Linked DNA regions of Schizosaccharomyces pombe. The protein of the gene in region 3 purifies or fractionates together with the protein of the main gene of each other region. This does not show direct contact. Each region holds a gene or a part of one and is shown on either strand. Other genes may lie near its edges. The genes, in order: cwf5, spp42, cwf10 and ntr1.

The links.
Region 1: the proteins of cwf10 (region 3) and cwf5 purify together in Schizosaccharomyces pombe (affinity purification with western blotting; 2 studies listed by BioGRID, with this or other methods). This does not show direct contact.
Region 2: the proteins of cwf10 (region 3) and spp42 purify together in Schizosaccharomyces pombe (affinity purification with western blotting; 2 studies listed by BioGRID, with this or other methods). This does not show direct contact.
Region 4: the proteins of cwf10 (region 3) and ntr1 purify together in Schizosaccharomyces pombe (affinity purification with mass spectrometry; 2 studies listed by BioGRID). This does not show direct contact.

The regions. Positions count from the first base shown.
Region 1 is NC_003421.2:1,183,358-1,189,191, reverse strand, and holds cwf5 (Prp19 complex subunit, RNA-binding Cwf5), read left to right. Parts: upstream 1-1,569; 5' UTR 1,570-1,623; coding exon 1,624-1,899; intron 1,900-1,950; coding exon 1,951-2,307; intron 2,308-2,367; coding exon 2,368-2,799; downstream 2,800-5,834. Other genes in the region: Ski complex RNA helicase Ski2, read left to right, coding at 1-1,457; coa4 (respiratory chain complex assembly protein), read left to right, coding at 3,025-3,174, 3,221-3,304; THO complex subunit Tho1, read right to left, coding at 4,024-5,196, 5,252-5,834.
Region 2 is NC_003424.3:2,648,719-2,659,253, forward strand, and holds spp42 (U5 snRNP complex subunit Spp42), read left to right. Parts: upstream 1-2,000; 5' UTR 2,001-2,019; coding exon 2,020-9,111; 3' UTR 9,112-9,306; downstream 9,307-10,535. Other genes in the region: rng2 (IQ motif containing GTPase activating protein), read left to right, coding at 1-1,268; SEACAT complex subunit Sea2, read right to left, coding at 9,326-10,535.
Region 3 is NC_003423.3:4,050,166-4,058,144, forward strand, and holds cwf10 (GTPase Cwf10), read left to right. Parts: upstream 1-2,390; 5' UTR 2,391-2,435; coding exon 2,436-2,461; exon of another isoform or gene 2,462-2,505; coding exon 2,506-2,865; intron 2,866-2,903; coding exon 2,904-3,255; exon of another isoform or gene 3,256-3,314; coding exon 3,315-5,531; 3' UTR 5,532-5,814; downstream 5,815-7,979. Other genes in the region: SPOM_SPBC215.11C (aldo/keto reductase family protein), read right to left, coding at 297-1,217; protein Mtl3, read left to right, coding at 6,003-7,607. UniProt on the Schizosaccharomyces pombe protein: Component of the U5 snRNP complex required for pre-mRNA splicing. Binds GTP.
Region 4 is NC_003424.3:3,187,746-3,195,059, reverse strand, and holds ntr1 (RNA-binding splicing factor), read left to right. Parts: upstream 1-4,216; 5' UTR 4,217-4,268; coding exon 4,269-6,662; 3' UTR 6,663-6,814; downstream 6,815-7,314. Other genes in the region: nucleoporin Alm1, read left to right, coding at 1-3,528; Golgi Dsc E3 ligase complex transmembrane subunit, C-terminal UBA domain Dsc2, read left to right, coding at 6,993-7,011, 7,119-7,249.

The DNA.
Region 1 (5,834 bases), on a different chromosome or scaffold from region 3:
GCTTAACATATAATATGATACTTAACCTCCTACGTGTAGAGACGCTTAGAATTGAAGACATGATTAAACGCAGCTTTAGTGAAAACGTTAACCAAACATTGGTGCCTCAGCACGAGGAAAAAATAAAAAGCTTTGAAGAAAAGTTGTCGGCTTTAAAGAAGGAAATGTCTGATGTTGATTTGAAAGAAATTAAAAGTTGTTTATTGAGCAGTGAATCTTTTAAAGAGTATACCAAAAAAATGCACTTCCGAGCAATAACTACTGCAAATGGCAAAAGAATATTTAAAGATGGAAGAGTCATTGTTTTTCAACAACTTGATTTTACTCGCACTGTTGGAGTTCTACTCGGAACATCCATTAGAACCAATGCTTCAGACTGTACACTGGAAGTTGCATATTTAAATCCACAGAACAACCTCAAACGACCATCGGATTTACTTGCTTTTGCTGACGCGTTCAATGATGTTTATGATAACGCTATCTTTGATGAATCAAACCAATTCAAGTATGGCCTTATCAATCTTTCCGGTATTGAAAGAGTCTGCAATACGATCCTTCGAATTGATTCTGGTGGAATTAGAGACCGTCGAGGGGGGGCTTTTCGAAAACTTAGTGAACAATTTGCATCAATTAAAAAGTTTTCCGACCTGCTTTTTGAAGAAGTTAATTGGAGTAAAGTCAGAGACTTTGAATTTTGTGAAGCTTTCGAAAAACGAAATTTTCTTCAGAACAAGTTATCCGGAAATCCAATTATCTCGACTCCAAACTTTCTTACTCATTTCGCCTTAGCTTACCAAGAGTATGAATTGGAAAGCAATATCGATAACTTATCTTCCTATATTTCCGATCAAAACCTAGAGTTACTGCCTGATTACGAACAACGGATAAAAGTATTGCAAGAACTAGGATATATTGACGCAGAGCGAACTGTTTTACTAAAGGGAAGAGTCGCATGTGAAATTAATTCCACCAGTGAATTGGTATTAACAGAGTTGATTTTGGAAAACAGTTTGGCGGACTTTTCTTGTGAAGAGACAATAGCATTGTTGTCTGCATTTGTTTTCGATGAGAAAACGGAGGTTGAACCCACAATTTCTCCTCATTTACAAAAAGGAAAGGAAATGATACTATCAGTGGCCGAGAAAGTTAATCAAATTCAAGAGCACTATCAGGTATTGTATTTTAATGAAGGTAATGATTTTGAATCACAACCACGATTTGGTTTAATGGAGGTTTGCTACGAGTGGGCTAGAGGGATGTCTTTCAACCGTATCACAGACTTAACAGACGTTTTAGAAGGATCGATTGTAAGAACAATTATAAGACTTGATGAAGTTCTACGTGAATGCAGAGGAGCAGCCCGTGTCGTCGGCGATTCTTCCATGTATACGAAGATGGAAGAGTGTCAAAATCTAATTCGCAGAAACATAGTCTTCTGCCCTTCACTGTATATGTGAATTTAATAGTTATATATATTTGTAGATTTAAATGATATTCATATGAAATTTTATGTGTTTTTCACGAATTTTATTTGTCTTAAAAGTCTTCGTATTCCACCTTGCAAAGTTTAACACCACCACATATTTACAAAGATTAGCATTGCAAGAGAATTGCGTTTCTAATATGTCTCATGGACCAAAAGGTGATATAAATAAACAAGAATGGGAGGATGTTGAATTTCCAAGCATCTGTGAACGTTGTTTGGGCGACAATTCATATGTTCGTATGACTAAGGAGCCACTTGGACAAGAATGTAAAATTTGCTCAAAACCTTGTACAATCTTTCGGTGGATAAAAGAACGCGGCCAAAAGCCTGGAAAAACTCAAATTTGTGTTGGTTGCGCCAGATATAAGAACTGCTGTCAGAGTTGCATGCTTGATTTGCAATTTGGTTTACCGGTAAGTTCAATATTTCATTCAACTATAATAGTCAGCTAACGTTCCATGAAGATTGCCCTGAGGGATGCAGCCCTAAAACTGGTCGAAAGCGGTCCCACTAACGATATTAATCGCGAATTCTTTGCTCAAAATCAACAACGCCTGTTAAGTAATGGCGAAACGGCCTACGATAGCCAGGAAGCAAGCGCCGCTGCAAGAAATCTTGTTAAAAAGGTAGAAAAACGAGAATTACATTCAAGACCTCCTAAGCGAAAATTAGATGATGTTGAGTCTAAGCAAATATTAAAGGAGGCTCGAGCATCTGATGCATCTTTAAATGCAGAACGCCCATTATTTCCGGTTAAAAAAATTATTAATGGGAATGTTTCCTTGTCTATTAATATGGAACCTCCTAAAGATAAAAAAATCGTAAGTGCGACTTAAAAGTAATTTAAGCTTGATGGCGCATTGTATTGTGCTAACATTTAGGCATCCCTTTTCCTTATTGGCGTCGAAGATGAACTAGCTGACTATAAAATTCGTAAACATTTTGAACAATATGGGCCTCTTAAATCAGTTGTGTGTTCTCATCGAGCAAAATGCGCATTCGTAAACTTTAAAACTCGTTCTAGTGCTGAGATTGCGGCGGCGGCATCTCCCGATGGAAATGTTGTTATAGAGGGGTTTCGACTGAAAGTTCAATGGGGAAAACCTCGTTCTCTTGGAGGACCTGAGGGTGAAGTACGAAACGCAAAGTTGGCAGACCTTGTGATGCGAGGTTCATCCCATGGAAATAAAACCTCCCAAAAATCTACGATTAAAAACATTGAAAATGAAGATCATGAAAATACTAAAAGCCCTGCAGTTGCTATACCCATTGACCCCAATCAACCCCGTTACCGATCTCAAATTCCGCGGTGAAGTCAGTTGGTCATTTAAAACCTTTGTAGTAGCTATTAACTTATTTTCTCTAATACTGACAAGCTTTATTCTGTATTTTCTTGTTTATTTGTCTTTGCACCTTTTCTGTCGTCTCTCGGTCATTCTCCTTAAATAATCAAATATCTGCTGCTTTACCTTACTCAGCAAAACACTTTGGGTTTTGCATATTTTTTACATTATAAAGCATCAATTTATTTTTTCTGAATGGATAGTATTGAAAAAACTCCTGACGGAGAAGAAGAGGAAAAAGATGTATGGGACACTGCTCTTGAAAAAGGTGGATGTGTAGAAGAGCACCTTCGACTGAATGATTGCTATTGGGATACTCATGATTGGAGGAAATGTACAGAACAGGTAATTATATGTCTTTAAAAAATTTAGCTAATTCTGATATTTTTAGATGGAAGAATTCAGGAAATGTTGGGAAAAGAGACATGGTCCTTTGCCAAGTATCTCAGACAAAAAAAATAAAAATTTATCTTAATGAGTTTCTATATCATGTGATTTTGTGAAAAAAATAATTATTCTGTTTACGGCAGTTTTAGTACGCTGTTATTAGGATGAATTCTTTTTATTGAAAAAGATATAATGCATGCGGAACTAATTAATTGGATTCTTCAAATACGAAGACAGTGTTTCAAATCATTAACTCATTTGATATAATTTTTTTGAATATTTTCTGCAATTGCAGAGTTTTCAGCTATTTATTTTACGAAGTCTCAGTTGTCATAGTGCATCAATTTTTCTGTGTTATGTGGTATGGTAAAGCAAGTTATGACTTAGTATTGAATTGATAGGATGGAGTTTAAATACGCAAAAACATATTTTACAATTCAACGTTGTTGTCAAATTGTATAAGTCTGTTTCAAATCTGATCCATCGATATTGGAAAAGTTCTGTACTTATAACCCGCTTTTATTGTTGCATTTGTTGAAAAATAAAAAATTTGACTTTAGAATGTTTTCATATTGAACATGTGAACGTATTCAACTGTCAAAAAATGTGTGCAGTTTAGTAAATAAGCGTAATTTACCCATCAATAAACAATGAAATTCATCTTTACAGTAGCTCTACTAAAAGGATGTAATTTTATTTTATATAAGCGCATACAAAAACACGCTAGATCAAAACATTAACTATATATACATTTTCTGACTCAATCATAACTAAGCACTTATCACATATGTGTAATTGATTTAATGATTATAATACAATTTCTCCATCCTCTCCAGTTTTTGGCCTTTTAGGGCTTGAATGAAGGTCAGAAGGTTCATCTTCCTCATCCCGTCCTCGCTTTTTAGTAATCTCTGACTGCTTTTGACTATTTTCAGAAGATTTTGGACTAGATGTTACTTCCAATATAGTTTCAGCAACATTATTCTCTTGCTTTTCAGATATTTTAGAATTTATGGTGGAAGTAATTTCTTCTGTGACCTCAAAGTGATCATCATTTTGTTTTAGTTTTTCAATATTTTCGGGAGATTTCACATGTGAAGATGGGTCCTTTGAAGCTTCAGATGTATTATCATCTTCTGATTTGAGAACCTTATTAACCTGAACCAAAGATTCACCGTTTACTTCACTGTCCACACCCTCAGTTGGGGGTTTAGGTGATACCTTTGGCAAGTCATTTTTATGTTTTCCTTCTTCAACCTCAACGCTTTCTTTTTCCTCTTCATTTTGGACAATATCACCTTCAGCATCTGTTTGCATAGGACTTGCAAAGTTTTGAGAATTGTGCTTGACATTCTCCCTCTTTTTCATTTCCTCTAATAACTCTTCTCCTTCTATAATATGAATATCAAAAGCTGGAGGAATAGAGGGTGTAATTTTCGATGTAGTCGGTTTGCCCTCAATGGAATTACAAAGCAATTCAACATCACCTAGTCCGGTATCCGAAAAGTTTTGAAGATGGCTATTAATTGCTGAACGAAAGGCACGCCATGTCTTCGTTGCCAAGGACTGTTCATGGAAATGCTTGTCATCATCTCTAACTGCCTCTTCTATTTCAAACTTGTCTGCTTTAACGCCAGATAAAAAGCTCTCAGGTGATGGAATCCGGTACCTTTCCTCCTTTTTGAGATCATCAAGGGTATTTTCTCCAGCCTGCTCCCAGAGCCTCGACAAAGCAGCATTTCCCATAGCAAATCTTAATTTCACTGGGGTGTTTGTAAGCTTTTTTAAGCCTTCGACAGCTTCATCAATAGCCGCTTTATCTACTAGGGGTTTTTCAAGGGAAGGGCAGCCAAGCCCTTTCCATAATTTCCAATTACCCTCAATATGTATAATTTCTTTAATGGTTCTTTGCACAGAACCACACCGGGCAGTATGTAAGAAACTATATGCTTCTTTGGATAATTCATTTAACTTTGAGGTCTACATATTAGCAATCAATAAAATCAGTTTTTTTCGAGTCTAAAAAAGAACATACATCTTCGTCAGACAAAATAACAATGGGAATTACCGCCTTATTTGTCCATTTTTCAAGAGTTCTCCTTTCAATTCGTTCTTTAGAATGGTCAAGCAAAAAGTCGAAAATAATAATTAATTGTAAAATAGCCTGTAACCGGAAATCTTCATCTGAAAGTTGGTATTCAAAAAGCGACCGAGAATATATATATTTAGAAGGAAATCCTTTATCCAAAGTTATATATTTTTCAGAAAGTAATGAGCTAGAGTTTGGATCAATTGTAGGGTTTGACTTCCCATTGAAGAACGTATTTTGTAATATAGATTCGAATGCCTGTATTGCAGAACCAGCTGCATCTATAAACTTAGGTAAGGTATCACTTGCTAGTAATTTAGGAGGGTTGGAGCACATACACTGCAAATCCCAATAAGCAGTAAATAAGGTATTAAGTTTTTTGTGATATGAGAGGTCTGTTCGGTCCGAAATGGGTGTGGATGGTGGTGACAGTTCTACCTTCCCAAAAGAATGAACAGTATTATAATCTCCACGTAAATTGGCTCCACTCCGTTCTTCAGGGGGGAAAGCCTTACTTAGCAGAATATCG
Region 2 (10,535 bases), on a different chromosome or scaffold from region 3:
TGTCAAGCATTTTGTCTGAGATCTTTTCAATCGAGTCCTGTGACTCTAAGCAACTTGGTTTTTTTAGACCACTCTCCGAGTTTATTGAGGTGTCCAAGCAGGATACCATGTTGATGCTAGAAAGGCTTGTCGATGTGGTTGATCCAGAGGTGTACTTTGAGTTCGATGCTTTTGAAGACCTTGTTAATACCAAGCGGCCAGTAATATACATGAAGCGAGACGATATTTTAGGCATTTATTCATCTATTGCATATGTCATAGATAGTATTGCTCCTCCTGATGTGAACGATCCATTACGCGCTGTTGTCAATAGCTTAGGTCCTGTTTCAGAGCAAGACAATGACTTTGTGCAAGATGAAACTGACGTCAAACTAGAATTGAATCCCAAATTTTGCACTATAGAAAATCCCGTTGCTCAGGAACGGACTCTTATTGTTCAGACAAAGAGATATATATTATTTATTATTCGAATTCAAAATGGCCTTAATCTTTTGGAAATACTTGTCAAACCGGTTACAGATTCAGACGAAGCAGCATGGCAAAATTTATTGGCAGAAGAATCTGAAAAGAATGCAAGGAATTATGATTTGTTTGATGATTCTATCTTTTCAATGTCATTTGCAGAACTGAAATACACTGCACTAAGCAATATAGTGGAAATGGAAAAGCTTGGATTTGCAAACCGACGGAATAATTACCAAGATATGGTAAATTCTATCGCTCTAGATATCCGTAATAAGTCGAGAAGAAGGATGCAACGACAGCGTGAACTTGATGCGGGACATCAAAGTTTGCTTAACTTACGAGAAAAAAGAGCTTTCCTTGATTCGCAGCTAAAAAGTTATAACGAATACATTGAACAAGCTATGGAAACATTACAATCAAAGAAGGGTAAGAAGAAGCTTATTCCTTTTTCTAAACAGTATTTTCACATGCGAGATCTCCGAAAATCTGGACGCGTTCCTCGCTTTGGGTCGTTCAAGTACCCAGCTCTTAAACTCTATGACCGAGGAGTTTTGGTATCAATATCTCATATGCCGCAGAAAGAAAAATTGTATATTACTATATCAGCCGATGAAGTTGGCAAATTTATTCTGGAAGCAACAAGCCCGACAGTTAAAGTTTCGAGCCCAAGGTGTGAATTGCATTTGGACGACTTGTTGTCTGCTCAATATAACAAGGTTTTAACTTTGGATGTTTTGGATGGCCGTCTCAAATTAAACACCAATATGTTCTTACATTTGATTTTCTCCAAATTTTATTCATGAGACGTTTCACTTTGTTCATTTTTCCGTCTCTTTAACTACCCAATGATTTAATTCGAATTAACTTAAAACCGTCAAATATCTTTGCACATTAATACTTGTCCATATTCTTTTGGCGAAATATGTATACTATGTGATATTTTCTCCCCTTTAATTCTGATAATTTGCACAGTTTTCCCATTTCATTCACTTAGTGTGGGGGGTTTTTTTATCACTACTTGTGTTTACTTATACTGTACAAATCTTATTTAACTCGGTGTTATTTTTCAAATTTTTTTTTTCAACTAAAGCCGTTGAACCTGAAACACTAAATCAAGGAATAGGAATTTTTGGTTTATGCATACTAGTTGTACTTGGTAATTTATACTTTCTGAATTAGTTAAAGGTTTATAATTACAAATAACACTTTTTTATAACAAAATGTAATTTATGTCAATACATACATCTTTACTAATTCTTATAAGGCGATTCGATTGAGCATGATTATGTTCAAATTAACCTTTGGATATGGGTAGGTGTTTGGTTGACAAACTTCTTAAGCGTGTTGCATTTTAACGAAGAAAATTTGAATTTTCAAATCCCGTATAGCGTGTAAAAAAATATACATTAAACACGTATTATGAGCAGAAGACTACATAGACCTAATATGAAATAAAACGCACAAAAGAATATTACGCACAAATAATGGCGAGGGTCACCACCATACAAAGTAATATTCACTACCACAATTCAGCTGACAAATACCATTACCTAAATGGCGTCGTTACCACCGGGGAATCCTCCTCCACCGCCTCCTCCGCCTGGATTTGAGCCTCCTTCACAGCCTCCACCTCCTCCACCTCCAGGTTATGTGAAGAAAAGAAAAAACAAGACTCCAGCACAGTCTGGAAATCTTGAAAAGCAACTTAACGAAAGAGCACGCAAATGGCGCGCTTCTCAAAAATCAAAGTTTGGTGTCAAAAGGAAGCAGGGTTATGTTCAAACAGAGAAAGCTGATCTTCCGCCTGAGCACCTGCGCAAAATTATGAAAGACAGGGGAGATATGTCTTCTAGGAAGTTTCGTGCTGATAAACGTTCCTATTTGGGCGCTTTGAAGTACTTGCCACATGCTGTGCTAAAATTGCTTGAGAACATGCCAATGCCTTGGGAAGAATACAGGGAGGTCAAGGTTTTATATCATGTAACCGGTGCTATAACTTTTGTAAACGAGAGTCCTCGCGTAATTGAACCGCATTTTATTGCTCAATGGGGAACGATGTGGATGATGATGAGACGCGAGAAGCGTGATCGAAAAAATTTTAAGCGTTTGCGGTTTCCTCCTTTTGACGATGAAGAGCCACCATTTTCTATTGATCAATTGCTTGATTTAGAGCCGTTAGAGGCTATTAGAATGGACTTAGATGAAGAAGATGACGCTCCTGTTATGGATTGGTTTTACGAAAATAAGGCTTTGGAAGATACTCCCCATGTAAATGGTCCAACCTATCGTCGTTGGAAGCTTAATTTACCTCAGATGGCTAATTTACATCGTTTAGGTTACCAACTTTTGAGTGATTTACGCGATGATAATTACTTTTACTTGTTTAATGACAATAGTTTCTTTACGGCTAAAGCTTTGAACGTGGCTATCCCAGGAGGTCCGAAATTTGAACCTTTATACAAAGACGAAGCCCCAGAAATGGAAGATTGGAATGAATTTAATGACATTTATAAACTTATTATCCGACATCCCATTAAAACTGAATACCGGATAGCGTTTCCTTACCTTTATAATTCTAGAGCTCGAAGCGTTGCACTAAGTGAATACCACCAACCGTCTAATGTTTTCGTTCCTCCTGAGGATCCTGATCTTCCGGCTTTTTTTTGGGATCCCATAATAAACCCCATCACTTCCCGCCAACTCACTTTGCATGAACTAGATACCTCTCCCGAAGATTCTGCCATAGAAGAAGATCCTAATTTTGAAATCCCTTTCGATCCTTTCTTTCATTCCGAAGATATAGAATTTGAGCACACAGCCAGTGCTCTGATTTTATTGTGGGCACCCCATCCTTTTAATAAGCGATCTGGTGCGACTAAGCGTGCGCAAGATGTTCCACTGATAAAGCATTGGTATTTAGAGCATTGTCCTCCTAATCAGCCTGTTAAAGTTCGTGTGTCATATCAAAAACTTTTAAAATCCCATGTTATGAATAAGTTGCACATGGCGCATCCCAAATCGCACACCAATCGCAGCTTACTTAGACAGTTAAAAAATACTAAATTTTTTCAAAGTACTTCTATCGATTGGGTTGAAGCTGGTCTCCAAGTTTGTCGCCAAGGGTACAACATGCTGCAATTACTTATTCACAGAAAAGGGTTGACATATTTACATTTGGATTACAACTGTAATTTAAAACCTACAAAGACATTAACTACGAAGGAAAGAAAGAAATCTAGGTTTGGTAATGCATTTCACTTGATGCGCGAAATACTTCGCCTTACTAAATTAATTGTCGATTCTCATGTACAGTATCGTTTGGGAAACATTGACGCATATCAGCTAGCTGATGGATTACATTACATATTTAATCATGTTGGTCAACTTACGGGAATGTATCGTTATAAATATCGATTGATGCGGCAGATTCGTGCTTGCAAAGATTTCAAGCATCTTATTTATTATCGCTTCAACACTGGTCCTGTTGGCAAAGGTCCAGGTTGTGGGTTTTGGGCTCCCAGTTGGCGTGTATGGCTTTTCTTTCTACGCGGAATTGTTCCTTTGCTAGAGCGCTGGCTGGGCAATTTGCTTGCTAGACAATTTGAAGGCCGTCATTCTACAGGAGTGGCAAAACAAATAACCAAGCAGCGTGTCGATTCTCATCAAGATCTAGAATTGAGGGCTGCAGTGATGAATGATATTTTGGATATGATACCTGAAGGAATTCGCCAAGGCAAAAGCAAAACCATTTTGCAGCATCTTAGTGAAGCTTGGCGTTGTTGGAAGGCTAACATACCTTGGAAGGTTCCGGGTCTCCCTGCACCTATTGAGAATATGATTTTGAGATATGTGAAGTCAAAAGCAGATTGGTGGACCTCAGTCGCTCACTTCAATCGTGAACGTATTCGTCGAGGAGCTACTGTTGATAAAACCGTGGCGAAAAAGAATCTTGGCAGATTAACTAGGCTTTGGTTAAAAGCTGAACAAGAAAGGCAACATAATTATCTAAAAGATGGACCTTATGTAACTGCCGATGAGGCAGTTGCTATATATACTACTTTTGTACATTGGTTAGAAAGTAGGCGATTCCAACCTATTCCCTTTCCTCCACTTTCGTACAAACATGATACGAAACTTCTTGTTTTAGCACTTGAACGCTTAAAAGAAGCGTATTCGGTGAAGGGTCGCTTGAATCAATCCCAACGAGAGGAATTAGCATTAGTGGAACAAGCCTACGATAATCCACATGAGATGCTGTCCCAAATTAAAAGGCGTTTATTGACAATGCGTACTTTTAAAGAGGTAGGGATTGAGTTTATGGATATGTATTCTCACTTGATTCCTGTTTATTCTGTAGATCCGATGGAGAAAATTTGTGATGCTTATCTCGATCAATACCTTTGGTTTGAGGCCGATCGTCGACACCTATTTCCTTCCTGGGTAAAGCCTTCTGATTCAGAACCTCCACCTCTTCTTGTTTACAAATGGTGCCAAGGAATTAATAATCTTACAGATGTTTGGGAAACTTCCAACGGCGAATGTAACGTTTTAATGGAAACTAGGCTGTCTAAAGTATTTGAGAAAGTTGACTTAACACTTCTTAATAGACTGATGTCATTACTAATGGACACCAATTTAGCTTCCTACGCTAGTGCTAAAAACAACGTTGTTTTGTCATATAAGGATATGTCGCATACCAACTCGTATGGCCTAGTCCGTGGTTTACAATTTTCAAGTTTCATCTGGCAGTTTTATGGATTAGTGTTGGATTTACTAATACTTGGCCTTCAACGCGCTACAGAAATAGCTGGTCCTGCAGATGCACCGAATGATTTTCTACACTTCAAAGATCAGGCAACTGAGACCAGTCACCCTATTCGACTGTATACACGCTATATTGATAAAGTTTATATAATGTTTCGATTTACTGATGAAGAATCCCGTGATTTGATTCAACGATTTTTGAATGAAAATCCTGATCCCACAAACAGCAATGTTGTAAATTATTCTAAAGGTAAAAAAAATTGTTGGCCTCGAGATGCTCGTATGAGACTCATGAAACACGACGTGAATCTCGGACGTGCTGTCTTTTGGGAGATTCGTAATCGTTTACCTAGATCACTAACTACCCTTGAGTGGGAGGATACCTTTCCTAGTGTTTACAGCAAAGACAATCCTAATTTATTGTTCTCGATGACAGGATTCGAGGTTAGAATCCTTCCAAAGATCCGACAAAATGAAGAATTTTCTTTGAAGGATGGTGTATGGAATCTCACAGATAATCGTACGAAACAACGGACAGCGCAAGCTTTCATACGTGTTACGGAGGATGGTATAAATCAATTTGGAAACCGTATACGTCAGATTCTTATGTCCTCTGGTTCCACTACCTTTACCAAGATTGCTAATAAATGGAATACTGCTCTAATAGCTCTCATGACTTATTATAGGGAAGCCGCGATTTCTACGCCCGAGCTTCTAGATTTACTTGTTAAATGTGAATCGAAAATACAAACTCGAGTAAAAATTTCATTAAATTCTAAAATGCCTAGTCGCTTTCCTCCAGCCGTTTTCTACTCGCCTAAAGAACTTGGTGGATTAGGAATGCTTTCAATGGGTCATGTACTTATTCCACAATCTGATCTTAGATGGTCGAAACAAACTGATACTGGTATTACTCATTTTCGAAGTGGAATGACTACCAATGGAGAACATTTGATTCCAAACCTTTATCGTTATATTCAGCCATGGGAATCAGAGTTTATTGACTCTCAGCGTGTATGGGCTGAGTATGCAATGAAGAGACAAGAAGCTCTACAACAAAATCGTCGTTTAACTTTAGAGGATCTGGAAGATTCATGGGATCGAGGAATTCCTCGTATAAATACTCTATTTCAAAAAGATAGACACACATTGGCATATGATAAAGGATGGCGTGTTAGGACTGAGTTTAAGCAGTACCAGCTCCTTAAAAACAATCCATTCTGGTGGACGAGTCAAAGACATGATGGAAAATTATGGCAATTAAATAATTACCGAGTAGATGTCATTCAGGCTTTAGGTGGTGTCGAAGGTATTTTGGAGCATACGATGTTTAAAGCTACTGGATTTCCTTCATGGGAAGGTCTTTTTTGGGAAAAAGCATCTGGTTTTGAAGAATCCATGAAGTTCAAAAAGCTTACTAATGCTCAGCGTTCAGGTTTAAATCAAATCCCTAACCGTAGATTTACGCTTTGGTGGAGTCCCACTATCAATCGTGCTAACGTTTATGTCGGATTTCAAGTACAACTGGATTTGACTGGAATCATGATGCATGGCAAAATTCCAACCCTGAAGATTTCACTCATTCAAATTTTTCGTTCTCATTTATGGCAAAAAATTCATGAATCTGTTGTTTGGGATTTGTGTCAAGTGCTTGACCAAGAATTAGAGTCATTGCAAATTGAAACAGTCCAAAAAGAAACTATCCATCCTCGTAAAAGTTATAAAATGAATAGTTCTTGTGCAGATATCCTCCTTTTGGCTGCCTATAAATGGAACGTATCAAGGCCATCCTTATTGAACGATAATCGCGATGTGCTTGACAACACTACCACCAACAAATATTGGATTGATGTACAACTTCGATTTGGAGATTATGATTCTCATGATATTGAACGTTATACTAGAGCTAAATTTTTGGATTATAGCACTGATGCTCAAAGCATGTATCCTTCACCGACCGGTGTCTTAATCGGCATTGATCTTTGTTACAATATGCATAGTGCATATGGTAACTGGATTCCTGGTATGAAACCATTAATTCAACAGAGCATGAACAAGATCATGAAAGCCAATCCAGCCTTATATGTGTTGCGTGAACGCATACGAAAAGGTCTTCAATTATATGCTTCTGAACCCCAAGAGCAGTATTTGTCCTCCTCAAATTATGCTGAACTCTTTAGTAATCAAATTCAATTATTCGTTGATGATACTAATGTTTATCGGGTTACCATTCATAAAACATTTGAAGGTAATTTGACTACGAAACCCATTAATGGTGCTATTTTTATATTCAATCCGAGAACTGGTCAATTGTTCTTAAAAGTTATTCATACGTCAGTTTGGGCGGGACAAAAACGATTGGGACAATTGGCGAAATGGAAGACTGCTGAAGAAGTTGCTGCTTTGATTCGTTCTCTGCCTGTTGAAGAACAACCTCGACAGATTATAGTAACTCGAAAGGGCATGTTGGATCCATTAGAAGTTCATCTTTTGGACTTTCCTAATATAACCATTAAGGGTAGTGAATTACAGCTTCCTTTCCAAGCGATTATTAAACTTGATAAAATCAATGATTTGATTTTACGTGCCACCGAACCGCAAATGGTACTTTTCAATTTATATGATGACTGGCTTCAATCGGTATCATCGTATACAGCTTTTTCACGCTTGATACTTATCTTGCGCGCATTGAATGTCAATACTGAGAAAACGAAGCTAATTCTTAGACCAGACAAGTCTATAATTACAAAAGAGAATCACGTGTGGCCCAACCTGGATGATCAACAATGGCTTGATGTTGAACCGAAACTTAGAGATTTGATCCTTGCTGATTATGCTAAGAAAAACAATATTAACGTTGCTAGTCTTACGAACTCGGAAGTGCGAGATATTATTCTCGGTATGACAATAACGGCTCCTTCTCTTCAACGTCAACAGATAGCTGAAATAGAAAAGCAAGGCCGTGAGAATGCCCAAGTTACGGCTGTCACCACAAAAACTACTAACGTGCATGGTGATGAAATGGTGGTTACTACAACATCTGCGTATGAAAATGAAAAGTTTTCTAGTAAAACAGAATGGAGAAATCGTGCCATATCATCTATCAGTTTACCCCTTCGTACAAAAAACATTTATGTTAACTCTGATAATATCAGCGAAACTTTTCCTTATACATACATTCTTCCTCAAAATCTGCTTCGTAAGTTTGTTACGATATCCGATTTAAGGACACAGGTTGCCGGATATATGTATGGTAAAAGTCCGTCAGACAACCCTCAAATTAAGGAAATTCGTTGTATTGCACTTGTACCACAGCTTGGCAGTATAAGAAATGTGCAGCTTCCTTCTAAACTGCCTCATGATCTTCAGCCTTCTATATTAGAAGACCTTGAGCCCCTTGGTTGGATACACACTCAAAGTTCTGAACTTCCCTATTTATCATCTGTCGATGTAACTACACATGCAAAAATTTTATCTTCTCATCCTGAATGGGATACCAAAGCTGTAACTTTGACAGTGAGCTACATTCCTGGTTCGATATCCTTAGCTGCATATACTGTGTCAAAGGAAGGAATTGAGTGGGGATCAAAAAACATGGATATCAACAGTGATGAAGCTATCGGGTATGAACCTTCTATGGCTGAAAAATGTCAGCTGCTATTGTCCGATAGAATTCAAGGATTTTTCTTGGTACCAGAAGAGGGCGTATGGAATTATAATTTCAATGGTGCAAGCTTCAGTCCTAAAATGACGTACAGTTTAAAACTTGATGTCCCTCTGCCATTCTTTGCTTTAGAGCATAGACCTACTCATGTAATAAGCTATACTGAACTGGAGACGAATGACAGATTAGAGGAAGATATGCCAGATGCATTTGCATGAATGAGGAGCTATTTATTTTCGTAACTGGATTTTGGGCAATTAATGTATATTTTGATTTTTGCTAATTTGAGTGCTTTATGACATCTTGCTTTAGTTAAATGGAATTTAGTGAAAAAGCTAGAAAAATGGGTTTTTAAAATATCCCACATTATCATTATTAGTTTATAGTAATACAAATTTTTCATCAAGTACATATGCGTTAGATTATAGTTTTTTAAATCAGAGCACGTTTATCTAGCAGTTTGACACCGCAGCCGGGAACTGGACATACTGGCAATGCATCGTCTGTATTATCAAAATACCAAGAACGTAGACAGCTTTCATGACCGATGTGGCCACAAACGGGAGGATAAACGAGCACGCCTCTTAACGGTAGCTCACAATAAACACATTTTTTGAGACTAGTAACGGTCTTTGCATTTTCTTTACCTTTTTCGGATTGCTCGTTACCGGTTGCTTTTTTGTTTTCCATTTCAAAAATCAAATCTCTACTACTTGAATGAATGTACTTGAGATTTTTTGAACCAGACATGTTTATAAGGAGAGTAGCTTCACTGAACATTCCGAATCTCCTTAACAAATCAACATAACTTTCAAGTAAATCGTCTAATTGAATCCGTGGTAAATCTATAGTTAGGTATGAAAAAACTGAACAAACGCAGGCTGCCGTTTGGACATCTCCTCGAGATATACAGTCGCTTATAATCGATGTAACAACATAAGGAAGTTCAATAGGAGGTAGATCATCGATAGGAATTTCAGAATCAGTATCTCCATGTAATGATAACTGGTCTAAAAATATAGATGCTCGACGTGAAGAATTACCAGCACTCAATACGGCTTCTCTCGATTTGATTGAAGCAGATGTAACAGAACTTCTGTGGAATGAATTGAACATTTCGTTATGTGACGTACCAGAATAATTTGATGCTGCAGAATCTAGTAAATAGGATGAATTGATGCTTGCCCGGCTATCAGTTGAAAAATTATTAACCGGTGCTTGTCCTTTCTTTAATACGATCGGATTTTCTAAATCATGCCATTGCGATTGCTTATTAAGGACGGCTTTATCGAGATTGTCCTCGGATTCGATAGATGAATTAGAGGATTCTGAAGGAGTAGATGCTTCCCGTGGTTCAAAAAAATCATTTAATGATAAATTATCATGAGCGGGGGTTGAGGACGTTGAAATTTGCGTTAAATTTTTTAAATTTCGACCTTTCTCATCATCAGCCATAGAATTGTTAGCAGAAACAAAAGGAATATTTATTAATTCACTAATTCCTTTATCAGAATTGTTAAGTACCCCTAGTGAAAAATACAAAGCATCCCAAATTTGATAAGCAAATTCAGCTCCAACATTTCGTGCAAAAAATGCGTTCTCTTTACAAGCAGAAGAGATATCTCCTGATATGCGATAATTT
Region 3 (7,979 bases):
TAAATATCAAAATAACGAAAATTACAATACATATTATATATAAGCATTCGTAAACTTCTTTATTTACGTAGCCGCGGGTATAACTATTTTTCTGTGAATGCCGTGTATTTTTACTTTAGCATGTTAAAAACTGCTTTCTCTTAAACAGTGCCTTGTAGACCTTACGAGGAATATGAAAAATCAATACAAAAAGATGCTTTTAATTTAATCATGAGATCATTTTATAACATTATCAACATATGGAAATTCCAAACATCGTGGCATTAGTAAGTTTCCATAGAAAGAAAAAGAGAAATCTAAGAAGACTTTTTCTTCTCCTCTTCTTGACGCTTAGCATCTTCGCTTTTACCCTCCTCATCCAATTTGGCAAACACCTCAGAAGATAATTGGATTCCAGCGGCCTTGACGTTTTCTTCGAGATGATCTACTTTGCTAGTACCAGGAATAGGTAGCATAACCGGACTGCGTTGTAAAACCCAACTCAAAGCTATTTGACTAGTGGAACGATCAAGGTCTTTTGAAACAGCGTCCAGGATGGTTCCGGGTTTGGCTAATGCTCCTGAAGCTAAGGGATACCAAGGAATAAACGCAATTCCCTTCTGTTCACAATATTCTAACACTTTCTCATTCTTACGATTGACAAGGTTGAATAAGTTCTGAACACTAACTACCGGAAAATACTGTTCAGCTTCTTTGATATCGTCTACTGTAACCTCACTCAATCCAACATGGCGAATCAATCCTTCTTTCTTCATAGCTGCAATTTCAGAAAATTGGTCTTTGCGAGGAACCTTGGGATCGATGCGATGTAGTTGCCAGAGGTCAATTTGCTTAACTCCAAGTCGACGCATGCTCATAAGTACTTCTTGACGTAAAAATTTGGGTGCTCCACAAGGATGCCATTCATTTGGACCTGTACGAACAAGGCCACCCTTGGTAGCAATTATAAGTCCTTTGTAAGGGTATAAAGCTTCTCGTAAAAGATTCTCGCTGACCTCAGGGCCGTAAGAATCGGCGGTATCAATAAAGTTAATATTGAGTTCAGGCAAACGTTTTAAAGTTGCGATGCAAGCCTCTTTGTCTTTGGGTTCATCCCATATACCATCACCGGTAACTCTCATTGCTCCGAATCCCATTCTATTGACAACCATGTCGCCAACCTTGACAGTCCCAGCTTGTGAAGCATCTACGGCGGAAGAAGCTGCAGTTTTACTCATTTTTGTGTCTTTTGTCGCTTTTCTTAGAAATCAAGATCAAGTACTATAGTGGATCCGGTAAGTGTGGGATGTCAGACGCCGTTTCCTTTTATAGTAATTTTACATGGTGTATTCCTTACATAAGCTGGATTGATGCGGACTATCTTAAACCACGAAAACTGATTTATTACATACCCTATTTACAGAATCCAGTGGTATGATGTAAGAGCGCGTTAGACAATATATTGTCATAACGATGACTAATACTATTATAGTACGATATTGCTGGTTGGATTTTGAATTAGAGTAAATAGCTAAGTCCTTTTTGATTTGGCTCTTATTCAATTTAATGATAATTTTATGGTTCCAAAATCTGATGCTGGATGAATTGTCTAAACTGTATCTCTGTCTTCTTTTGCCAGCCCATTTTTATTCATGAGCAACGATGGTCGCACATAACGATAATGATCTTTATTGCTATGTTTCTTTCTATTCAAGATAATGTGGATTTATATTTTCCATCTTCTTGAATTATGCTTGATCGTGCTATCAAATCGTACTACGAGTTATCATTTGGAGACCACAAATGGGTTGACCAGTTCCGTAAATCGAGGTAAACATTGCACATAATAACAATTCTAGGACTGTATTTGAAAGGAAACACATTTTTTGAATTTAGTTGATGATGCCAGTATATTATTAGTGTTATTGACATTCAGCAATTTGTTGTGTGTTTTATAAACACACTAAATACTTTGTACAGTTGCAAAACTTGCGCTCTAAAAATGTTTGCACCGCACTTTTACAATGGCTATTTACTCTTACTATTGTCTTCGAAAAGCTTATAAATTTGGCTGCTAAACATGGGTCGGTAGCTCAAATCGTAGACATAACCAGTCTTTTAAGGTCTCAATTACACCCATGTACGACTTTTAAGGAGGAAGTTGGTAAATAAAAAAGTATATTTGGTTTTCAATAATTACGATTCATTCCTTTCTATCAAAATGAGACGATGTCGTTCTTCGGCAACCTTAAAGAGTGTAGTGGAAGTTACTGAGCCGATCATATCTCGTTTAGAGAGTATAAAGACAATGATTTCTCTAGCTCATTATCAAAGCTTAACGAGATATAAATCGCAGTTGAGACATGAATGCGCTAAAGCTCGAAAACTTGGTTACACTTTACTTCAAATTTGGTAATTACCAAAAGTTGTGCATTGTGGGTACTTGGCAGTAACTGATGATGGAAGAGGATTTATATGATGAGTAAGTGGTCTAAAAACATTTTATAGTTATTTCTAACTCGCCAGGTTTGGAAATTACATAGGCCCTGAAAATGAAGAAGATGAAGAGGAGCTGTTTCCTCAGGCTCCTAGCCCTACAATTGCACAGGTACCATCCTTTGAAGAGGTCATTCCTGATGAAGAATTAGAAGACGTTGAAAGGGCCGAGGAAATGGCGTTGAGTCATCTAGAGCCTCAGAATGCCGTTGTTCTTCACGAGGATAAACAATATTATCCTAGCGCTGAAGAGGTATATGGGTCCAACGTGGATATCATGGTTCAGGAACAGGATACTCAACCCTTAAGCCAGCCCATTATTGAGCCAATTCGTCACAAAAGGATTGCTATAGAAACAACAAACGTCCCAGATACTGTATACAAGAAAGAGTAAGTATGTGTAACAATGTCTTTTCTAACTTTTTAAGGTTCCTCTTCGGTCTCTTAACTGGGACAGATGACGTTAGATCTTTTATTGTTGCTGGCCATCTGCATCACGGCAAAAGCGCTTTATTAGATTTACTCGTTTATTATACCCATCCTGACACCAAGCCGCCAAAAAGGCGTTCACTTCGATATACCGACACTCATTATCTTGAAAGAGAACGTGTGATGTCTATAAAAAGTACTCCACTTACGCTCGCAGTTTCTGATATGAAGGGTAAGACGTTTGCATTTCAGTGCATCGATACGCCTGGTCATGTCGATTTTGTTGATGAAGTCGCTGCTCCTATGGCCATAAGTGATGGTGTTGTATTAGTCGTTGATGTTATTGAAGGTGTAAGTTATTCTGGCCTTTTCTTGCGTTTTGAAGATATAAAGATTCTAACATGCTTTAGGTGATGATTAACACCACTAGAATTATCAAACATGCGATTCTTCACGATATGCCAATTGTGCTCGTCTTGAACAAAGTTGATAGGTTAATCCTTGAGCTACGTCTCCCTCCGAATGATGCTTACCATAAACTTCGACACGTTATCGACGAAGTAAACGATAACATTTGCCAGATTAGTAAAGATTTGAAATATCGCGTTTCTCCTGAGTTAGGGAACGTTTGTTTTGCTTCATGTGATCTTGGATATTGTTTTACATTGTCTAGTTTCGCAAAACTCTATATAGATAGACATGGAGGTATCGACGTGGACTTATTTTCTAAAAGATTGTGGGGGGATATTTATTTCGATTCGAAAACCAGAAAATTTGCCAAACAGTCCTTGGATGGCTCTGGCGTTAGAAGCTTTGTCCATTTCATATTAGAACCGTTGTATAAATTACATACCCTTACTATTTCTGACGAAGCCGAAAAACTCAAAAAACACTTATCTTCTTTCCAAATTTATTTAAAACCCAAGGATTATTTATTAGATCCTAAACCACTCTTGCAACTAATTTGCGCATCGTTTTTTGGATTCCCCGTTGGTTTTGTGAATGCAGTTACTAGACATATTCCATCGCCTCGAGAAAATGCCGCTCGTAAAGCCTCTCAATCATATATTGGGCCTATAAACTCTAGTATCGGCAAGGCTATCTTAGAAATGAGTCGTGAGGAATCAGCACCATTAGTCATGCATGTTACTAAACTTTACAACACCGTCGATGCTAATAATTTTTATGCATTTGCTCGTGTATATAGTGGTCAGGTTAAAAAGGGTCAGAAAGTTAAAGTTCTTGGAGAAAATTATTCTTTAGAAGACGAAGAGGATATGGTGGTTGCTCATATTGCTGAAATATGTGTACCTTGCGCACGATATCGTCTTCACGTTGATGGAGCTGTTGCCGGCATGCTAGTTCTTTTAGGAGGTGTTGATAACTCTATTAGCAAAACAGCAACCATCGTTTCGGACAATTTGAAAGATGATCCTTACATTTTCAGGCCAATTGCTCACATGTCCGAGAGTGTTTTCAAGGTGGCTGTAGAGCCACACAATCCATCAGAATTACCAAAACTACTTGATGGCCTACGAAAAACAAACAAAAGCTACCCACTATCTATCACAAAAGTAGAAGAATCTGGGGAACATACTATTTTCGGTACTGGTGAGATGTATATGGATTGTCTACTTTATGATCTTCGGACTTTATACTCTGAAATCGAAATCAGAGTTTCCGATCCAGTTGCTCGTTTCTGTGAGACTGCGGTGGACACATCAAGTATCAAGTGTTTTTCAGATACTCCAAATAAAAAAAATCGTATCACAATGGTAGTTGAGCCATTGGAGAAAGGAATTTCTAATGACATTGAAAATGGAAAAGTTAATATCAATTGGCCTCAAAAAAGAATCAGCGAATTTTTCCAAAAGAACTACGATTGGGACTTACTAGCTTCACGTTCCATCTGGGCTTTTGGTCCCGATGATCGTGGTACGAATATATTGCGGGATGATACTCTTAGTACAGATGTTGATAAAAACGTGCTTAATAGCGTAAAAGAATACATTAAACAAGGTTTTCAATGGGGGACTAGGGAAGGTCCTCTATGTGATGAGACAATCCGAAACGTGAATTTTCGCCTGATGGATGTAGTGCTTGCACCTGAACAAATTTATCGAGGAGGTGGTCAAATTATTCCAACCGCAAGGAGAGTGTGTTATTCTTCTTTTTTAACAGCGTCTCCACGGCTAATGGAACCAGTGTATATGGTTGAAGTACATGCCCCCGCTGACAGTCTTCCTATTATTTATGATTTATTAACGCGTCGTCGTGGTCATGTCCTCCAAGATATCCCTCGGCCAGGTTCCCCATTATATTTGGTGAGAGCACTTATTCCAGTCATTGATTCTTGTGGATTTGAAACAGATTTACGAGTGCATACTCAGGGTCAAGCTATGTGTCAAATGGTATTTGATCATTGGCAGGTAGTACCTGGTGATCCACTGGATAAGTCTATCAAGCCCAAGCCATTAGAACCCGCACGTGGCTCTGATTTGGCGAGAGACTTTCTGATTAAGACAAGACGTAGAAAAGGTCTGGTGGAAGATGTTTCTACAACTCGCTATTTCGATCAAGAAATGATTGATTCTTTGAAAGAAGCAGGTGTCGTACTCTCTTTGTAATGTCGGTTTTAAGTCTTTATAATGGATTTTGCAAAAAAAAATAAATTGGGTAGATTTTAATAATAAAGTATACGATTATTTATGAAAGTTCGAGAAGTCTAACAACTTTTTTTTGCTTTCAAATCTCGCGTTTACAGTGTATGAAATCCGAAAAATCAGCGCATATCTTGAAGCCGTAAATTATTTGTGAAATCCTTGATCAGAAGGAAAAGTCGCATTTTGGTTTTACGATTTTAGTATATAGATAAATAACTTCTATTATTTATTTTTTTATGTTAAGAAACTAACACTCAACTGAAATAACGTAATTTCATAGTACTATAAACACCCGAGGTCATATGTCATGAAGTTACCCTCTCAGTATACCGGAAGACTTTAGGGACATATACAACTTCCGGAAGTGCTCTGCTTTTGGAAGTAAAATACAGCGAGTTTAGTTAGATTAGTTTATTATTATCCTTAAAACTGAAGATGGGTTTGAGACTTTTGTTTTCTCTCATTTGCGTATTTTGCATATCGAACATTTTTACGCAAGCCTTCTTGGTGCATCAAATATATGGTAATTCCAGCTTCACAAAAATATCTTTAAATCAACTTGAGGGCAGAGATTCTCAAGAGGAACTACAAAGGCGTCAGGAAATCCGATATTATGGTCGTGCCGCTGAAACTGGAGGAACTCCTACTTACTACGGGTATGCGACACCCACTAGCTCTAGTGAACCCAGTATCTTTTCTGAATCTGCTACTCCCTCAGAAACTAATTCTTACTCGTCTCCGGTCAGCTCTTATTCTGATCCCGCAACTAGTCAGCTTCCCTCGTCGACTTCTTTCTTTTCACCTACTTCTTCTGAATATACGCCTTCTAGTACGGAATCCAGTTCTCTTCTGGACCCAAGTTCTGTATCATCAGCTATTTTACCAAGCAGTACTAGTGTTGAAGTAAGTATTTCTTCATCAAGTTTGTCATCTTCTGATCCTTTGACTTCTTCAACTTTTTCCTCCTTGAGTTCAAGCACTTCTTCAAGTCAGCCATCTGTGAGCTCCACCTCTTCTTCAACCTTTAGTAGCGCAGCTCCTACTTCCACTAGCTCCTCCTATTTGTCTAGCTCAAGTGTTGTTTCTTCATCGAGCTCTCCTTCATCCTCCTCTAGTTCGACACTTACTTCCTCTTCATTAAGTACTTCTTCTATTCCTTCTACTTCTTCTTCATCATCTTCTACTTCCTCGTCCTTGTCTTCTTCCTCTTCCTCTTCTACTGCTTCATCTTCGTCTTCTTCTTCTTCCATTATTTCTTCGTCCTCCTCCTCTTCTTCTTCTCCCACATCTACCTCTTCTACTATTTCTTCTTCCTCCTCTTCCTCTTCTTCTCCCACTTCAACCTCTTCTACAATTTCATCGTCGTCGTCGTCCTCTTCTTCTTTCTCTTCCACCCTTTCTTCGTCTTCTATGTCTTCGTCGTCGTCGTTCTCTTCTTCTCCTACTTCTTCCTCTTCAACTATTTCATCATCATCATCTTCTCCTTCCTCTTCTTCTTTCTCTTCTACTACTTCTTCCTCAAAGTCATCTTCTTCTTTCTCTTCTACTGTTTCTTCTTCTTCGAGCACTTCGTCTTCTACGTTAACAAGTTCTTCTTCTTCAAGCTCTCGTCCCGCGAGCTCTTCATCTCATTCCTCGTCTTTGTCAAGTCATAAATCATCCTCGTCTTCTAAATCCTCTTCTGCTCCAGTATCTTCAGCTTTTTATCACAACAGCACCTCTAGCAGAAGCTCTAGTCATTCATCTAGCCATTCATTATCGAGCTTGAGCTCAAAACCAATTCTGACTGCTAGCTCATCTTCACTTCTAACTTCTTCAAGCCATACATACGAAAGGTCAACTGTATATGTGGTTACGGTGGAAACTGTTTCTAGTGGATCTAGTACTTATGCATCTCAGTCAACTCAAACTAGCATTTTGTTGGTCATTGTTGGTGATAGTTCATCGACAGACAGTTCCGGGGCTTCTTCAACTCATAGCAAGACATCGATTTTCTTTAGTTTATTTGTTGTTTTAGCTGCTGCGATTGTTATTATTTAATTTGCCGAAACGCTCGGTCTAAAATTAGATTCACTAAAGTTTTGAATCTTTAATGCTTCTTTTAATAACGTGAACTGTTTATTTTATTTTTTTAAGAAGCTACAGAATGGGTTGAAACCACGCGGATCTTGTGGTTTATTAAACGTTTTGATACCTATATTTATTACTATTAAACCTGGCTTATATCTTTGCTTGGCGGTCTGCTACTTAAATTTTTCGTCGAAGGCTTTTTTGATTTTATTTGTAATTTATTTCAGCAATTTTAATGTCGCAAATTATTAGTAAATAGCGACTCTTTTGATAATTAATGTTTTGGACCAAAATTACAAAAATATTTTTTTACTGAGAATTCCACTGGATTAGTAATTAATA
Region 4 (7,314 bases), on a different chromosome or scaffold from region 3:
CGGGAAAAAGTGCGGGCCCTTGAATGCGATGTTGAAATCCAAAAGCAAACTGTCCAATATCAAATTTCCAATGCAGTTAAAGAAAATTCAAATACACTTTCAGAGCAAATCAAAAATTTGGAAAGTGAGTTAAATTCGTCAAAAATAAAAAATGAGTCCTTACTTAATGAACGAAATTTACTGAAAGAAATGTTAGCTACTTCTCGAAGCAGTATTTTGTCTCACAATTCTTCCGCGGGCAATATTGATGACAAAATGAAATCCATTGATGAATCTACAAGAGAACTTGAGAAAAATTACGAAGTTTATCGTAACGAAATGACAGCTATTCAGGAATCCTTGTCTAAGCGAAATCAGGATTTGTTGAGTGAGATGGAAGCAATACGTAAAGAGTTAGAAAATTCCAAATATCAGCAGCAGTTATCTACTGATAGATTAACTAATGCTAATAATGACGTTGAAGCCTTTAAAAAGGAAGCCAAGGAGCTTCGTAGTATTAATCAAAATTTACAGGATATAATTAGTCGACAGGATCAGAGAGCCAGTAAATTTGCCGAAGAATTATTACATGTTAACTCACTTGCTGAAAGATTAAAAGGTGAACTAAATGCTTCGAAGGGTGAAAAAGATTTACGGAAAAGGACGCAAGAGCGTTTAATATCTGAAAACGATAAACTTTTGGCTGAGCGCGAGAGACTAATGAGTCTTGTATCAGATCTTCAAACTTTTCTTAACCAGCAACAGCTATCTGATGCTGCTAGAAAAGTAAAATTTGAATCTGAGAAGGAAAGCTTAAGCCTTTCCTTGCAGAAGTTGAAGGAGTCAAATGAAAAGATGAGTAATGATCTTCATTCTCTACAGAAATCTTTGGAAAAGAGCGGAATTGAGTACTCCAGCAGGATTAAGACATTAATGCTCGAAAAACAATCGTTAAGTGAAGACAACAGGAAATTGTTAGATAATCAACAAATGATGGAAATAAAACTCCAAGAATTAAACGGCGTCATTGAACTTGAAAAACAAAGATTTTCTACTTTGGAAGCCAAGTTTACACAGCAAAAAAATACGTCCTATAGCGAAAGGGAAGCTTTGCTAGAATCATCGCTTAGTGACTTGCAATCTAAACATACTTCCTTAGAATCCCAATACAATTATTCTTTAAGGAATATTGAACAGTTACAGGCCGCAAGCAAACTCGCCGAAGAAATGGTTGAAAGAGTTAAAACTGAGTATGATGAGTATCGATTGCAAACTTCAGAGTCCTTGGAAAAAAATCATTTAAAAATCACTTCTCTTGAACAAAGGATAGTTATTCTACAAGATGAGATAGCTTCTTCTTCTTTACGCTGTGAGAATATTACTAAAGATAGCGAAACAAGAGTTGCCTTGCTTTTAGAGGAAAATAAGCATCTTAACAATGAGCTTTCGTCACACCGAAATGCTGAAAAGCAACATTTAGAGAAGGAGAATGATTATAAACAACAGTTGTTGTTGGTAACTGAAGATTTAAGAAAAACTCGTGAAGATTATGAAAAGGAACTTTTAAGACATGCCGATGCTAGATCGACTCTTCAAAAACTGCGCGAGGATTACACGAAGGCATTAGAACAGGTTGAAGATTTGAATAAAGAAATAGCCTTAAAGGCCGGTATAAACGAATCTCAGCCCTTTCCCATTAGTGAAAAAGAAGATCCTTTGAGACAGGAAGTTTATGTCCTCAAAAAGCAAAACGCAATGCTTTTAACCCAACTTCAATCTTCCAATCTCAACTTTGCAGAAATAACTAGCCCATCCCCGGATTTAGATTCTGTTATGAAATTAGGATTATCAGATTTACAGAATCATGTGAAGCGTATATCCAAAGAAATGGAGATTATTTCATGCCAACGACAATTATTATTCCTTGAAAATAAGAAACTCAAGCGAACCGTTGAATCATCGAATCGAGTTATCGCCGATCTGCAAAGAGGTATAACGGAAAAGGATGTTAGCAGTACTTCTGAATCCGTTGGGGAACGTTCAAATTATCTAAACATGGTTGCTTTATTAAATGAGAGCAACAAATCTCTCCGAGAAAATTTAGAAAGGAACGAGGAAGTTATCACAGAGTTAAGAGAGAAAATAGAAACTCTTAAAACTGATTTGGCGAATTTTAGACTTAATAAAGAACAACTAGAATCACAGCTTCAAACAGAGAAAGCAGCTGTAAAAAAGCTTGAAAACAGCAACGAAGAATACAAGCGTCATAACCAAGAAATATTACTATCTTTGAACAGTAGCACATCTACGTCTAGTGATGCTTCACGCTTAAAGAATGAACTTGTTTCCAAAGAAAACTTAATAGAGGAGTTAAATCAAGAAATTGGTCATTTGAAATCTGAATTGGAAACTGTTAAATCAAAAAGCGAAGATTTGGAAAATGAGAGAGCGCAAAACCAATCCAAGATTGAACAATTAGAGTTGAAGAATACAAAACTAGCAGCTGCTTGGCGAACTAAATATGAGCAGGTAGTTAACAAGAGCTTAGAAAAGCACAATCAAATACGTCAACAACTTTCGCAAAAGACTTCTGAATTAGAAGCCAAGGTTGCGGAATGTCATCAGCTCAATGAACAACTCAACAAACCTTCTGCAACCCCCACTGCTACTACACAGTCTGAACCAAGTACGGTGTCACTGGAAGAATTCAATAGCACTAAGGAAGAACTATCTTCTACACAGCGAAAGCTAAGTGAAATTATGGATATCTTAAATACTACGAAGGAGGAGCTTGAGAAGGTCAGACAAAATAGTAATAAATCTGAGGGAACCAGTAAGGATACTGAAATACCCAACGAAGAAGAAATGGAAAGGAAGAAAGTCATGCAACAGGAAGTTTTGAGGTTACGTTCGAGAATTGCAAAAGAGCTACAGAAAAACGAATTACTCAGGAAACAAAATCAGGTTTTACAAGATCAAGTGAAAGCTTTGCAAGAGACAGTTGTGTCATCCGAGGAAGCAGAGTCCGCTTCGGTACATGCTGATACTAAAGATTTGGAAAACTTAAAAAAGACAGAAGAGATGTTATCAGTTACATTTCAAGTAATCTTCAACGAGTCCATATCTGACTTTTCGACTTCCACTGCCGACTTTACTACTTTTGTGCAAAAGGAATGGGAAAAGCGCAGAGAAATTTTACAGAAGGATGTTGAGGAACAAGTTGCTCAGTCGCATCAAAAACAACTAGATAACATCCGAAAAGAACTCGAGATGCGTAACAAGTTGAAGTTGAGCATGCTGGAAAAGAACTTAGCTAGAGTGCGAGCAGAGTTGGAGCAATCGAAGAAAAAAGATAGCCCTGCAATTTTAAGTTTGGAAGCTTCTAAAAACACTGATTCCAATAAAAGCAATTCTGAAGTCCCAGCAGCTCAAGTTAAAGAGAAAAAGTTAATCGCCAAAACTCACTCTGTTGACACTAATTCTCCTCCTAAACGGTCCAGTTCAGACGCTGGTATGGATGTTTCCAATGATGTTAAGAAAGCCAAATAGTAAAATATGAATTTTTTGGTATAATGCCCTTTTTAATGTTTCTTAAGAGTTTGTAAACAGATAATAAAATAGGTTAGCTGCATAATTATTATTTCTGGTTTCCAATAAAAAAAACGACTTTAATTTTATTATAATAAAAAGCTTTGTATTGTAATTTAATATTTTGATATTTTTTGAAGAGCTATAGATATTTTGCGCAACTAATGTCCTTATTCAGATATGTAAGCTACGCAGTTTGGTATCTGATTTAAGGATACGTAGAACTGCGGTGAGTTTTCCTTGTGGTCTATTATATTACAATACACAGGTTGTATAAGTAGCAACTGAGTATAGGTATTGTATTAACTGGGTTATAATGTTACCTATCACTAATATAGCTCATAACTGAACTGAGGAACGAGGTTCAGTTGTAACGGTATTTATAATATTTCTAAATAGTTGTTATCAACGGGTAACTATGTATATAGACGGATAGTTACCCGTGATTATCAATAAACGGATCTTAGCTAGTATTCCAACATATGACATATAGTGATACGCAACGTAGTGTATCATAGCGTAGTGTAGTATTGCTGACAAGATAAAATAAATAATGACGTTTTCGCGTGTTCTTAAGCTTAAGAACGTAACGCGCAAAAACTCATTATATGACATCCATATTTAACCCACTGGAGAACTGACCCAAAATAGAAAATTTCGGTTTTCATTGGTTTTTATTTATATTGAATTCTTGGGTTGATATGCAAAATGAGTATGTCGATATGAATTCATCTTCCGAGGATTCAGATGGTGATTCAATTTTGGAAGAAGGACGTCTTCGTCCATCTTTTCGTGGGCAGCAAAAAGAAAGGGACATGCTAGGAATATTTGGTGAAGAAGATGAAGATGGTTTTCATAACTCGGGGATTGGAAGTGCTAGACTTCGTAGAAAAAACATTTCTTTTGTTGAGAAATCTGAACAAGTTAAAGCAAATAAGCAAGTGACAGCAGATGATTTATTGGAGGCGCATTCAATTCCACAGTTAAAGAATAAAAATGATGAGGTTTCTCAGGCGAAAAATATTCCAAAGATGAAGTTTAATACTACTGGATTTGGCGCAAAAATGTTGGAAAAAATGGGGTATAAACAAGGACAAGGTTTGGGTGCCAATGCTGAGGGTATAGCTGAACCTGTACAATCTAAGCTACGCCCCGAACGTGTCGGATTGGGAGCCGTTCGAGAACGGACCGAAAAGCAAAGGAAAGAGGCAATTGCTCGTGGTGAGATCTCTGATAGTGAAGATGAGAAACATACCGTCAAACAAAAACCTTTAAGAGAAAAAAAGAAGAAACCTTTAAAATCCTCTGAAGAAATTTCAAAGGATATGGGAAGTTATAACTTGCCTAGGTTCTTAGCCAGTCTCATTGATGCTTCCTTAAATGATACTAAGGAAATCGAATTTGTGACTTCAAATAAAGAAGAATTGGGTTTAGAAGGTCGTGATATGTCCACTTCTGGAATTAACCAGCTCTCCAGGCTTGCTCGGGTTGAATGTGAACACCATGCTTCTGCATGGCAACAATTACAAGCCCGTCGCGCCTATGTTAAAATGGAATTAAAGAGGGTCACAACGGAATTCGACGAGAAATCGGTTGAAATATCTCGTTTGGAAAAGCTTTTGGGTAAAGTTATGGAGGTAAAATCCAGGTCAATGGAGTTTACAGTACCTGAGGCCGAAATTGATGTTATCGAAAAAAGACTTCAGCCGTTAAATAACTTAATTGAAACGTTACCGGTTGAATTTTCAGAGGCAAGTATGCATTTTGAGCTTGACTCGGTCGCAGTGTCAATCCTTGCTTTTGTACTTTCAGAACCGATAAAAAACTGGGATGTCTGGAAACATCCATATTTTATGTTAGAAAGTTTTCTTTCGTGGAAAAATTCTTTATATTCCAAAGACTTTAGGCCCAAGAGAGAAGAGAGTAGTACATTTATGGATATTGATGTGGAATTCGATGATGAATTAGAAGGTCAAAGCTTAACACACTATGAGTCATTTATGATGTTTGTTTGGAAAAAAAAAATTGGTGAGGAACTGAAGAAATGGATTATTCAGGATTCTCTTAAGGCTTTGCAACTTTTAGAAGCATGGGACCCTGTGGTTCCAGAGAAAGTTAAAGATTCTTTGATACAAGATGATATACTCCCTAGGCTCAAAGATGCTGTAAGCAAATGGAACCCTAAATTAAAATTGAAGAAAAATGATTCACTGCATCATTGTATTTTCCCGTGGTTACCCTATTTGGAAAAGCACGCAGATTCACTACTGCAAAGTGTTTTGGTTCAGTTTTCTCTAATTTTGTCCCCATGGAAAATAAAGAATGGAAGTATCGATGACTTTAGTGTCTGGAGATCAGCGTTTGCTAATGATGCTTTAGACCGTTTACTTGAGAAAGTTATATTGCCTAAGTTGGAAAAGTTAATGGATGAAGAGTTAGTGATTGACCCATCTAACCAAGACCTTGAAATATTTTTTATCATTTTGTCTTGGAAAGGATCGTTTAAAGCTATGGTTTTTGGGCAACTCTTTGCAGATCATTTCTTTCCAAAATGGTTAGAAACCCTTTATCAATGGCTAACGGAAGCTCCTAATTTTGATGAAGCAAGTGAATGGTATACGTGGTGGAAATCCGTTTTTCCGAAGGATTTGCTATCCAATGCATATATTCAACAGGGATTTTCAAAAGGGTTGGATATGATGAATGAATGCTTAGAAAACAAATCCATAACGGCTCCTCTTCCATTTGCAAAAGACTCAACTAAAGGGGTCAACCTTCAATTTTCGAAAGAAAAACATGAGTTCACTGCTGAAAGTGACGATACCACTTCTTACGATGAACCATTAGTGAGTTTCCGCGAACTTGTTGAAGAGTTCTGTGCTGAAAATTCGTTGTTATTTGTACCTTTGCGTCGGTCACATTTGTCGACCGGTAGTGCCTTGTTCCGCATTTCAACACAAGCCAGTAAAGCTCGTGGAATAACTGTGTATCTTCGAAACGATATTATTTGGAAAAAATCTCCTGGAGCTTCCGAAGATACGCCCTATGATCCAATTGGGTTCAACGAAATCCTCCTCATGTTTAACAATAACTAGAAATGTAATTGTGAAGGGGAATATTGATTTGCATCAATATCATTATGAATATTCTTAGACTTGATTAACAGCGCTGCATTAATGAAAAGAATTACGAGTTTTAAAATGTATAAGTAAAATGGTTGTCTACACAAAGTAAGTACTTATATACAATTTTACCAACTTTAAAAGGATTTCATAAAAAAAATTTGCCTAATTGAGTGATCTATCTTGATTTTGAATAAATGTATTATATACTTCCATTATATAGCGTATTTTAACACTGCAACGCTGCACTCAATATTAATTCGAGGATTGACATACTAGGGATATGCGTTTTCCATAGCAATCATGTCTAGCGCCAATATTGGTATGTTAATGACTAGTTAAACGATATTTTTTATTCTTTTTGTTTTTCTTTTAGAGCTTCATTTGATAATGGCTTGTAATGAGACTTCTAACTTACAAAACGTATAGTACCGTCAAACATGGGAATTACTAAATTCCTTCTTTTGACAATTTCTACATCATCTGTAGTTGCTGGAGTGTTTGCTTTAAAACCTTTTTTTCACATCAACTTTGGACTTCATTTGTTGTCACATTACCAAGTAAGTAATATCTGTACTAAACAAACCTTCGGTTTTCCAAGAGTTTGATATAATTGTTTTATTAG